Danio rerio: one gene and its partner. The protein of the gene in region 1 interacts with the protein of each later gene in a biochemical or structural test. Links are inferred from orthologs where the notes say so. Each region holds a gene or a part of one and is shown in the gene's direction. Other genes may lie near its edges. The genes, in order: snap23.1 and stx4.

Evidence for each region.
Region 2: the proteins of snap23.1 (region 1) and stx4 form a complex in vitro, tested with the Homo sapiens proteins (4 studies listed by BioGRID). The link is inferred for Danio rerio from reciprocal best matches to the Homo sapiens genes SNAP23 and STX4.

Annotation. Positions count from the first base shown.
Region 1 is NC_133192.1:35,124,531-35,128,358, forward strand, and holds part of snap23.1 (synaptosome associated protein 23.1), read left to right. Parts: intron 1-203; coding exon of another isoform or gene 204-261; coding exon 262-318; intron 319-665; exon of another isoform or gene 666-2,212; coding exon 2,213-2,254; intron 2,255-2,346; coding exon 2,347-2,395; intron 2,396-3,828. UniProt on the Homo sapiens protein: Essential component of the high affinity receptor for the general membrane fusion machinery and an important regulator of transport vesicle docking and fusion.
Region 2 is NC_133187.1:22,373,777-22,378,380, forward strand, and holds the start of stx4 (syntaxin-4), read left to right. Parts: upstream 1-1,696; 5' UTR 1,697-1,850; coding exon 1,851-1,880; intron 1,881-2,990; coding exon 2,991-3,098; intron 3,099-3,850; coding exon 3,851-3,950; intron 3,951-4,094; coding exon 4,095-4,169; intron 4,170-4,277; coding exon 4,278-4,348; intron 4,349-4,455; coding exon 4,456-4,564; intron 4,565-4,604. UniProt on the Homo sapiens protein: Plasma membrane t-SNARE that mediates docking of transport vesicles. Necessary for the translocation of SLC2A4 from intracellular vesicles to the plasma membrane.

The DNA of each region.
Region 1 (3,828 bases):
CCGAAGACTGAAATAATTACAAATAAGGACTACATTTATAGTCCTCTCCAGAGCTTCACATTAAACATTTTATTTGATGAACATCAGGCTGGGTAACGATGACAGAATTCCTTCAGATTCCAGGTAGTAGGGAAAGCTTTTTCTGTGGGCATCTTCGTTTGTGTTTGATTCAATGGCCTCTAAACTTTGACCTTTGCCTTCAGACCCCAGAGCGTGGAACTTAAGGTCACAGGAGGAGAGGCGAACTTGGACACCAGCAAGATGGCCGACATGACAGTAGAAGATATCACAATGAGAGCCAACCAAGTTACAGATGAGGTACGCCTGTCATCTGTTCAATAACAAACAGAAAACAATGAAGAAACTTTACACCTAAAAAAAAAAAAAAAAAAAAAAAACAAAACACAACACGTTCAAGTTCCTGTATATTTGCAGACTCATTGTTTGTGAGAGTAAAGCCTATCACTCACTCTTCTCTTTCAGTGCTGCATTTCCTAATCATATTTTTCTTGCACTAAGTGTCCTAAAATATGAGTTTATTCTTGTTGACTTTGTGAATATGTGATTCTCTGCTACTAAAATCTTCAGGTAACAATAACTCACTCCTTTCTTACTTTACTCATAACTGTTTTGTTCTCTCTTTCTCTTCCTTGCTGCCTCTGAAGGAATTCACTTGAGCCTGTGTGCTGTAATAGAGACTAATAGCATGAAAAAGACATCAGCATGGGTGACTGGGGGTAAACTAGAGATTTTGTTTTATTAAAACACTCCTACCCTACCTCCTACACACACACACACACACACACACACACACACACACACACACACTTTTTTATGAGCAGTATCACATGAGTAGCAGTGCAATATGGCTGTATATTGGCACTGGTGGGAGGCGTGTGTCCCACCAGTGACTACAGTCATATTGCACTGCTACTCATGTGAATTTGGTTTATACAACAGTTCGACGGCATAATCGTGTGTATAAAAAGGAAAATCAAACACGCAGAGTGTATAGCCTTTTGTTAGAGGAACTACTTTCTTCTGCAATTCATTCACATCTGCAGCTGATGTCAGAACGGCAGAAACTGTTGCTACTTCACAAACGTCACGTAAGAGCTAGTGTTTGAAAGATTCTCTTGAGTAATGTCTAAAGTGAAGACAAAACAGGTGATTTTGCTCTGATCTGGCTGTTGAGCGGCATGAAATGCCATCAGTCTAAAGAGATTTCCCAGTATTTTTCTGCATTCAGGAGATATGTGGTATAAATACAGCACTAAACCATACAAAAAAAAGAGATCAACTTAGAATGTCACTCACCTGTTTTATAATGATTTGATCAGCTGTAGTTTGAAATTTAAAATGAAAACGCTGGGTTTTCTTCCCTAAGGACTATTTATGTGGTCTCTGTTGCCATCTTCTGCCGCAACTGTTTTTGCTTTGCTCAATATAACAGGCTGATGCCTGCCAATCTCCGAAATTAAAAATATTTAAAATAGGCCCTATCCTTATAAATAAACTGCATAGATGCAATCTAAACAACTACATTCTTGCCTAAAAAAGCCTCAAAAATACATTATGCTGTCCAACAGCTGCAATATTTGTCACTGTAATGAGTTTATTATGCTGTCACCCTATGTGGGTGGAGTAACACAGAAGAGTGAAGAAGGCTGTTATTGCAAAATATCGCACGGCTATCACTCAATCAGATTCAATAACTAGACAGAACTGTTGTGTGTTTATAAATAGATTTATAATTTATTTTTTATAGCACATAAGTGATAATTAGGTATTTAACTTTATGTACTGTTTAGTAATTTTTAAACATTAAAGTAGAAGTTTGAATTTAATTTAATTACAATAATAAAAATAATTTCACAATCATTCCAGTCTGCTTTCACATTGTGTTCGTGTGTATGTCCTGTGATTCTTGCATGGCTTCATAGAATTATCTTGGCTTTTCATATTTCTATTCATTTCTGTATTCACCAGCAGGTTTGTATTATTTTCCTACTGAATACAACTCACACTATGTGACTTTATGAGCCAAAGGCATGCTGCAGTGTTAGGTACACATAGTTTGATGTTTGCATGCAGAACGCAAATGTATGTTCAGCACAGTAGTTTTCTGTGTCACTGTACTGTCATGATTTGACTACATTTTGAATATGTCTTTTATTTATTTATTATTATTCTTTTTGTCATTTTTGTTTAGTCACTTGAAAGCACTAGGCGGATGTTGCAGATGGCAGAGGAGGTAAGCGCACCAGTGGCATTAAAAGCATGATTTGTTTGCTCATTCGAGTTCATATACGATATTTAACTTTATATAAACCTGTATATTTTCAGAGTCGGGAGACGGGGGTCAAAACAATGACCATGCTGGATGAGCAGGGCGGTAAGTGACTGCACCACTATTAACATACAACTAGGCATGGGCCGGTGTAAGGTATGATATGATAACCTTGGATAAAAATATCACGGTTTCACGATATTGTAATTACTGCTCTAAAATGATAAGTCTACCTAAATGTGTATATTCCAAAGTATGAAGCTGATCGGTCAGTTCTTGTCTCGTGACTCGTGGTTTTCATCTGGTGCACCTGGGAAATGTGAGCGCACTTCCAATATGCGCGCATCCAATATGTGCTCCCAATAAGTGCGCGCAAAAGATGCAATATGTGAACCTGTTTAGGCTGAGTTGAGCCGCCGTGTTTTGGGGCGCCAGTGTCCTCCTTGGTGACTAATATTGTCATAGAATGCTTTCTATTTAAGTGCTTGAACAAGTTGCTGGTCGAGTTAAAAGCAGTTAAAAGTTCTGGACATAGTCTGCATTTCACAGCAATATTTTTCTTTTTACGCTCAATGAAATCAAAGTAATGTCAGTATTTCCACTTGAAGAAGCAAACACTTTCGACAGCAGCCATTTCAGCTTGCGTTCTCCAGCTATTTAAAAGTGCATGCAAATTAACTGACGTAGCGGAAAACGTGATTTAAACGATGCATTTTTTTTCTTTAAAAATATATATTTGTAACGCAAAGTAACACAAATACATTGACTTTAGTAACTGTAATCAAATTACACTAATTTAAAATGTAATTCGTTACATTACTACGTTCCTCAAAAATGGTATTTGGAATAGTTACGCGTTACTGTGGAACGCCTTACACCCAACTCTGTCCAAACCACAATCTTGCCTACATACAGCTCTGTATAAAGAAATTAAAAGACCAACTGAAAATTCTCTGGATTTAATAGATATGTCTACCAGGGCTGAAAAGGTTCTTTGTCGATGCATGCAATAGGAATGGGACATGGGATAACCTTGGATAAAAATATCACAGTTTCACGGTATAACAGTATTATGATTACTGTTCTAAAACATATTCTTTTTAAATGTCGGGATAGAAAAACATGTTTTTTCCCTTTTGAACACAACATAATTTATTTTGAGAAACCTTTATAATATTTTGGAGCAGTAAACATGTCGGGCTGAATAACTCAAACGAGTCACTGACTTTTCTGTCTTATTTTGTTTCAAAAACACATTTTTCTTTACCATTTAAATTGTCATTTTTGGATATCTTTTCTGCTGGAGATACTGTTGTCCTAAAAAACAAAACGAATCTTACACATACCTTAGGAATGGTATAGCTGAAAATTTTGGCGGTTTTAAAACCTTGACTTTTCCAAACCGCGGTAAACCCTGAATACGGTTATCGTCCCATGCCTAGTATGCAACATAATACGCTGTAAATGAATGTCCAGATTAGATAAACATATTTTTTATAACTTTTGCATAAATTTATAAAAAGATGCCATGTTTCTAT
Region 2 (4,604 bases), on another chromosome or scaffold:
GGATATTTCACCCGAAAATAAGAATTCTGTCATCACTGTGTGCGTTTCTGTTTATGTTACCTTGCCAGTTCCACGCCACCCAATCCGCTCCAAGCTAGTATCGAACCGGCGACCTTCCGCATGGGATTCGATTGCTCTAACAAGGAGGCTTAAAACCGCAAAGCGCAGAGCTATAAAAAAAAATCTAATTGTTGGGTTTGTATGTGTTTACATGCTAATCAGTAAACTAAAATGGTACTTTGAAAGACTTTTCACTATAATGCTCTTCTGGGAAGCAAAAACTTCTTCATGTCATCACTTTAAAATCTCCAGTTTTGGTTCTTCCTGTCAAATCTATTTTTAGGTTTATGATTTCCAGCTTTCGATTTTCTTTTCTTTCTTTATACAATTACTGATCTGATATCCGTTAAAACTCGCAATTCTGACTTCAAAACTCAGATTCTTTTTGCCCCCTACTGAGTGATGCACCCATGTGGATATGTAAGCCCGTTTTCGCCACTGAGTAATTTTTTTGAAGTAGTTATTGCATTCAGAATTTTAATAATAATTCCTTAACTTTATATAGCACTTTTCTGGACACTCAAAGCACTTTACACATTTTTTGGGGGGTGGGGGAATCTCCTCATCCACCACCATTGTGCAGCATCCACCAGAATGACGGCAGCCATATTGCACCAGAATACACACCAGCTGATTGGTGGAGTGGAGATAGAGTTATGATGCCATGATGGACAGAGGCTAGTAGGCAGCTTTGGCCAGGATGCCGAGGTTAACCCCTGCTCTTTTTTTTCAAAGGACATCCTGGGATTTTTAACGACCACAGAGAGTCAGGTTTAACATCTCATCTGAAAGACAGGACTCACTGACAGTATATTAATGTACCGGCGTGTTAGGAGACATACAGACAGCAGGTTGAGCTGGTCTCCCTAACACACTTGTGGCAATAACCTACAGTTGCTTTCCCATGTGGTATCCCATCCAGGAACTGACCTGGCGCAGCCCTGCTCAACCATGAGAGTTGCAGAGGGCTAGCTGCCGGCAATGCTAATTATAGCTGGCTTTATAACTCTTATGTAATAGCTTTATATAATTGTGACATATATCTCAGAATGCTGTCTTTATATCGCACAATTGCAACTTTATATTTCAGATTTCTGACAAAACCTGTAATTGTGAAGTATATCTCAAAATTCTTGCTTTATTTATTTACTCAGAATTGTGACATTTTATATCTCTGAATTGTGACTTTATCCTAGAATTCTGACTTCATAACTCTAAATTGTAACTTAATCTCTGAATTGTAACTTAGAGTTCTGACTTTATGACTTATATGTGAAAATTATGTCTTTATATCACACAGTTGTGACTTTATGTCTGAGAATTCTGACTTTATAACTCGAAATTTTGATTTTAAATCTCAGAAATCTGAAACAAAAAGCGGGAAAAGATAAAAACTGTTATTCTCTGGCGGAAATTGGCTTCCTTAAATAGCCTCAGTCGTGTCGCTCAGTAGGGGGCAGTAAGAGCCTTGACGGATTTGTCAGACATCCGCAAACTGATAGAGAAGAAGAAAACGGTAAAGTCATATACAGCGACATCGCCCCACACTGATCTCTAAACATAACCAGAGTTTATCCATATAGCATAGATATACACAGCATCTCTCAGCGTCCATCAATATTCTGCTCTGAAAGTTATTTGTGGAAGTTGGCTGGCGTGAAATGTGACTTTCAATGGAAACTCCCTCTTATCTGTTGTGAGTTTTGCAAGTTTATGGTCAGGAGACAGATGAGCTACACCTCTTAAAAACGGGAACATTTCATCTGAGCTGGCCATAAAATACATCGAAAATGCGGGACCGGACCAAAGAACTGGGCAATGTGAGTAATTTCAGGGCAGTGCACGCAGGAAACCGGCTAACTGGCTAACGGGCTAATGTTATTCAGCGGATGTAACTACTGTCACCACTGGCTCGACTGCGATTTATTAACTCCTTCAAGGATTGTAACGAGTCACAATCTATAGTTGTGTGGCTTATTTTCTTGTGTTGGAAAAATATATGGTTAAAGTCCACGAACGGTAGGCTAACACCCTCTTGCAGCACCAGCGCTCTTGGGTAAACGGGGTGTAACTTTATTTAGCCTACAAATAAATACAGCTGCCATGAATGGTTGCATTTGAATATTGATTTTAGTTTTTCTCACAAGAAAGTTAAGCGTTGAATTGGTACTTAACTTTTAGTTGTATTATTATTAATACACTGTCATTCGCTCGGCAATAAAGGTTTATTATCATCCGTTTGTTTTTTCACGTAATTGTGTTGTTGCAGTTTCTTCTGTGGGACTACATTTGCCTTTCGACAAACAAATACCTTTAAATGTCCCAAAGAGAGTCACAAAGGGTTAATTTCACAAAGTTTTTACACTAAATGTTGCACATACTGAAAAATATGAATCTCCTGTATATGGTTTTTACTTCGTTTTCCTGTAAAAGCAAAAAAACTATAATGTTAATAAATTCACACACAATAAAACACACTATCTGTCATGTTAACGTGTTTTTCCTTAAAGCTACTTTTTGTGTAATCCTAAATTAATTAAATTCAAATATATATTTTTCATAAAACATGTCAAGTAAATGTAAAATATATCTTGATTTAAGACTTTCACACATTTGCAAAACGACGAATATAGTGGAAGATGTTTTTTGTAATGTGATGAGAAGAGTAACATTTTTAATGGCTATTCAGTTTTGACTTTTTTTTGTAAGTTTAGAAATAACAGATCTGTTTACTTTTTTTTAAACTTTGAGGTATTATTTAAAATAGATATTTTGCTAACCTTATTTACCTTTATCTAAGCTGCAGAAACACTGTCTTGCACTTTGTATGGTGGTAATATTTTTAAAATATGATAACATACAATATAAAAATTTATTAATAACAATATTCTTAACTATATTCAGTGTCGTATTGTGTACTCTTTTACTAGACTGCTGATGCCTCAGATGAAGATGAAGAAACCGTAGCTCTAATGATAAAGCCTGGATCTGGAACCTCAGCAAATGAAGACAAAGAAAATGAAGCTTTCTTTAAAAAGGTCATTGTAGCACGATTGCTCTCATTTTAACTGCAACTTTCAATACTTTTATGCACTAGTTTTAGGGATCTGTACAGAAGTAGCATGTTGTTTCTGTAATTAATGATTTTTGAACTGAAGTGTGTATTGTTGGTTCTTGTATAATATAATTTAGAAATCCTGCAATTCTGAACTGTGATTTTCTACACTGCAGGTTTCTCACAAATACTGATTAGTACGGTGGCTGAGAGCGCTCAAATGTACTGCACCAACAAAAAACACCAATAAAAAAGCATTTTTTATCAATTATTAATGCAAAAAATGTACAAACAACAAGGAACCTTACGACCAGGACATTAAAATAACCATCAGACAGCAACCCTGACAGGCTCTAAACAGGAAGTAGCTGGGTTTGTCTCTTTTGGGGTTCCCTGACACATTTCTGTCATGTGCTCTTTGCATATGTGCATGTGTTGTGAGAATTTGCTTACACATATTGTCAAACGAATGAACACATTTTCTTAGTTTGGTTTTTCTATATGCATATCTTAGCTTACAGTACATTTGAGCTCTCTCTCCACCACCGTAGATTAGGAACATGCACATGCAAACAGTAATAAAGGAATGAAGCTGTTTAGTGTTTGTGCAAACTTCATGTAATGTCAAACATTACACATAAATTACATTTGGGTCACTTGAATTCCATAACATTTGTGCTTGGAAAGTTTGCATTGAAACTTGACATAAAAATATATTTTCTTTTTTCTATGTAGGTTCAGGAGATTCGAGAGGGACTTGAAACTCTTAAGAGAAAGGTTTCCGAATTGGAGAACAAGCAGAAAACAGTGCTAGGAGTTGCACTTCCAGAGGACAGTAAGTAATTTAGCTTTCACTTGGGTTTTTTATTATTCATTTACATAATCTTATGTTGTGTGTGTGTATTAATTAATAATTATGAAGAGAGTAAGTTAAAGGATAGTGAGTGAATGAGTAAATTATATTTTTCTTTGAGCACAGGTATGAAAAAGGAACTGCAGTCACTCAGAGAAGACATCAAAGGGATGGCCAGCCAGATCCAAAAGAAATTAAAAAGTGAGACTGATAAATAAAATTTTATAAATGAAGCTTTTTTTTTGACAATCAAACTTTTCTGCTCAACCTAACAAATGTGAAAAATTAATCACTTCATTTACATCATAGGTCTTGAACCTAAGAAATTGGAAGTTGAAGAAAAATATATCCCAGTGAATGTAAGAATGAGGAGAACTCAGGTCAGTTGCTTTTATATTTCATGTTTTAATAAATAATTAAACTTAAACAGTGTTGTTTTGCCTGAGAATAATCTGATCTTGTATGTCTCCTCATCATTTTTTGAAAGCATGGTGTTTTGTCCCGTGAATTCCTGGAACTGATGGGTCGCTGTAATACAATTCAAGCCCAATACAGAGACCGAAATGTGGAGAGGATTAAAAGACAACTCAAAATCAGTATGTGCTTATTCTGCTGTGCTTTTTTTCATTGATCTTA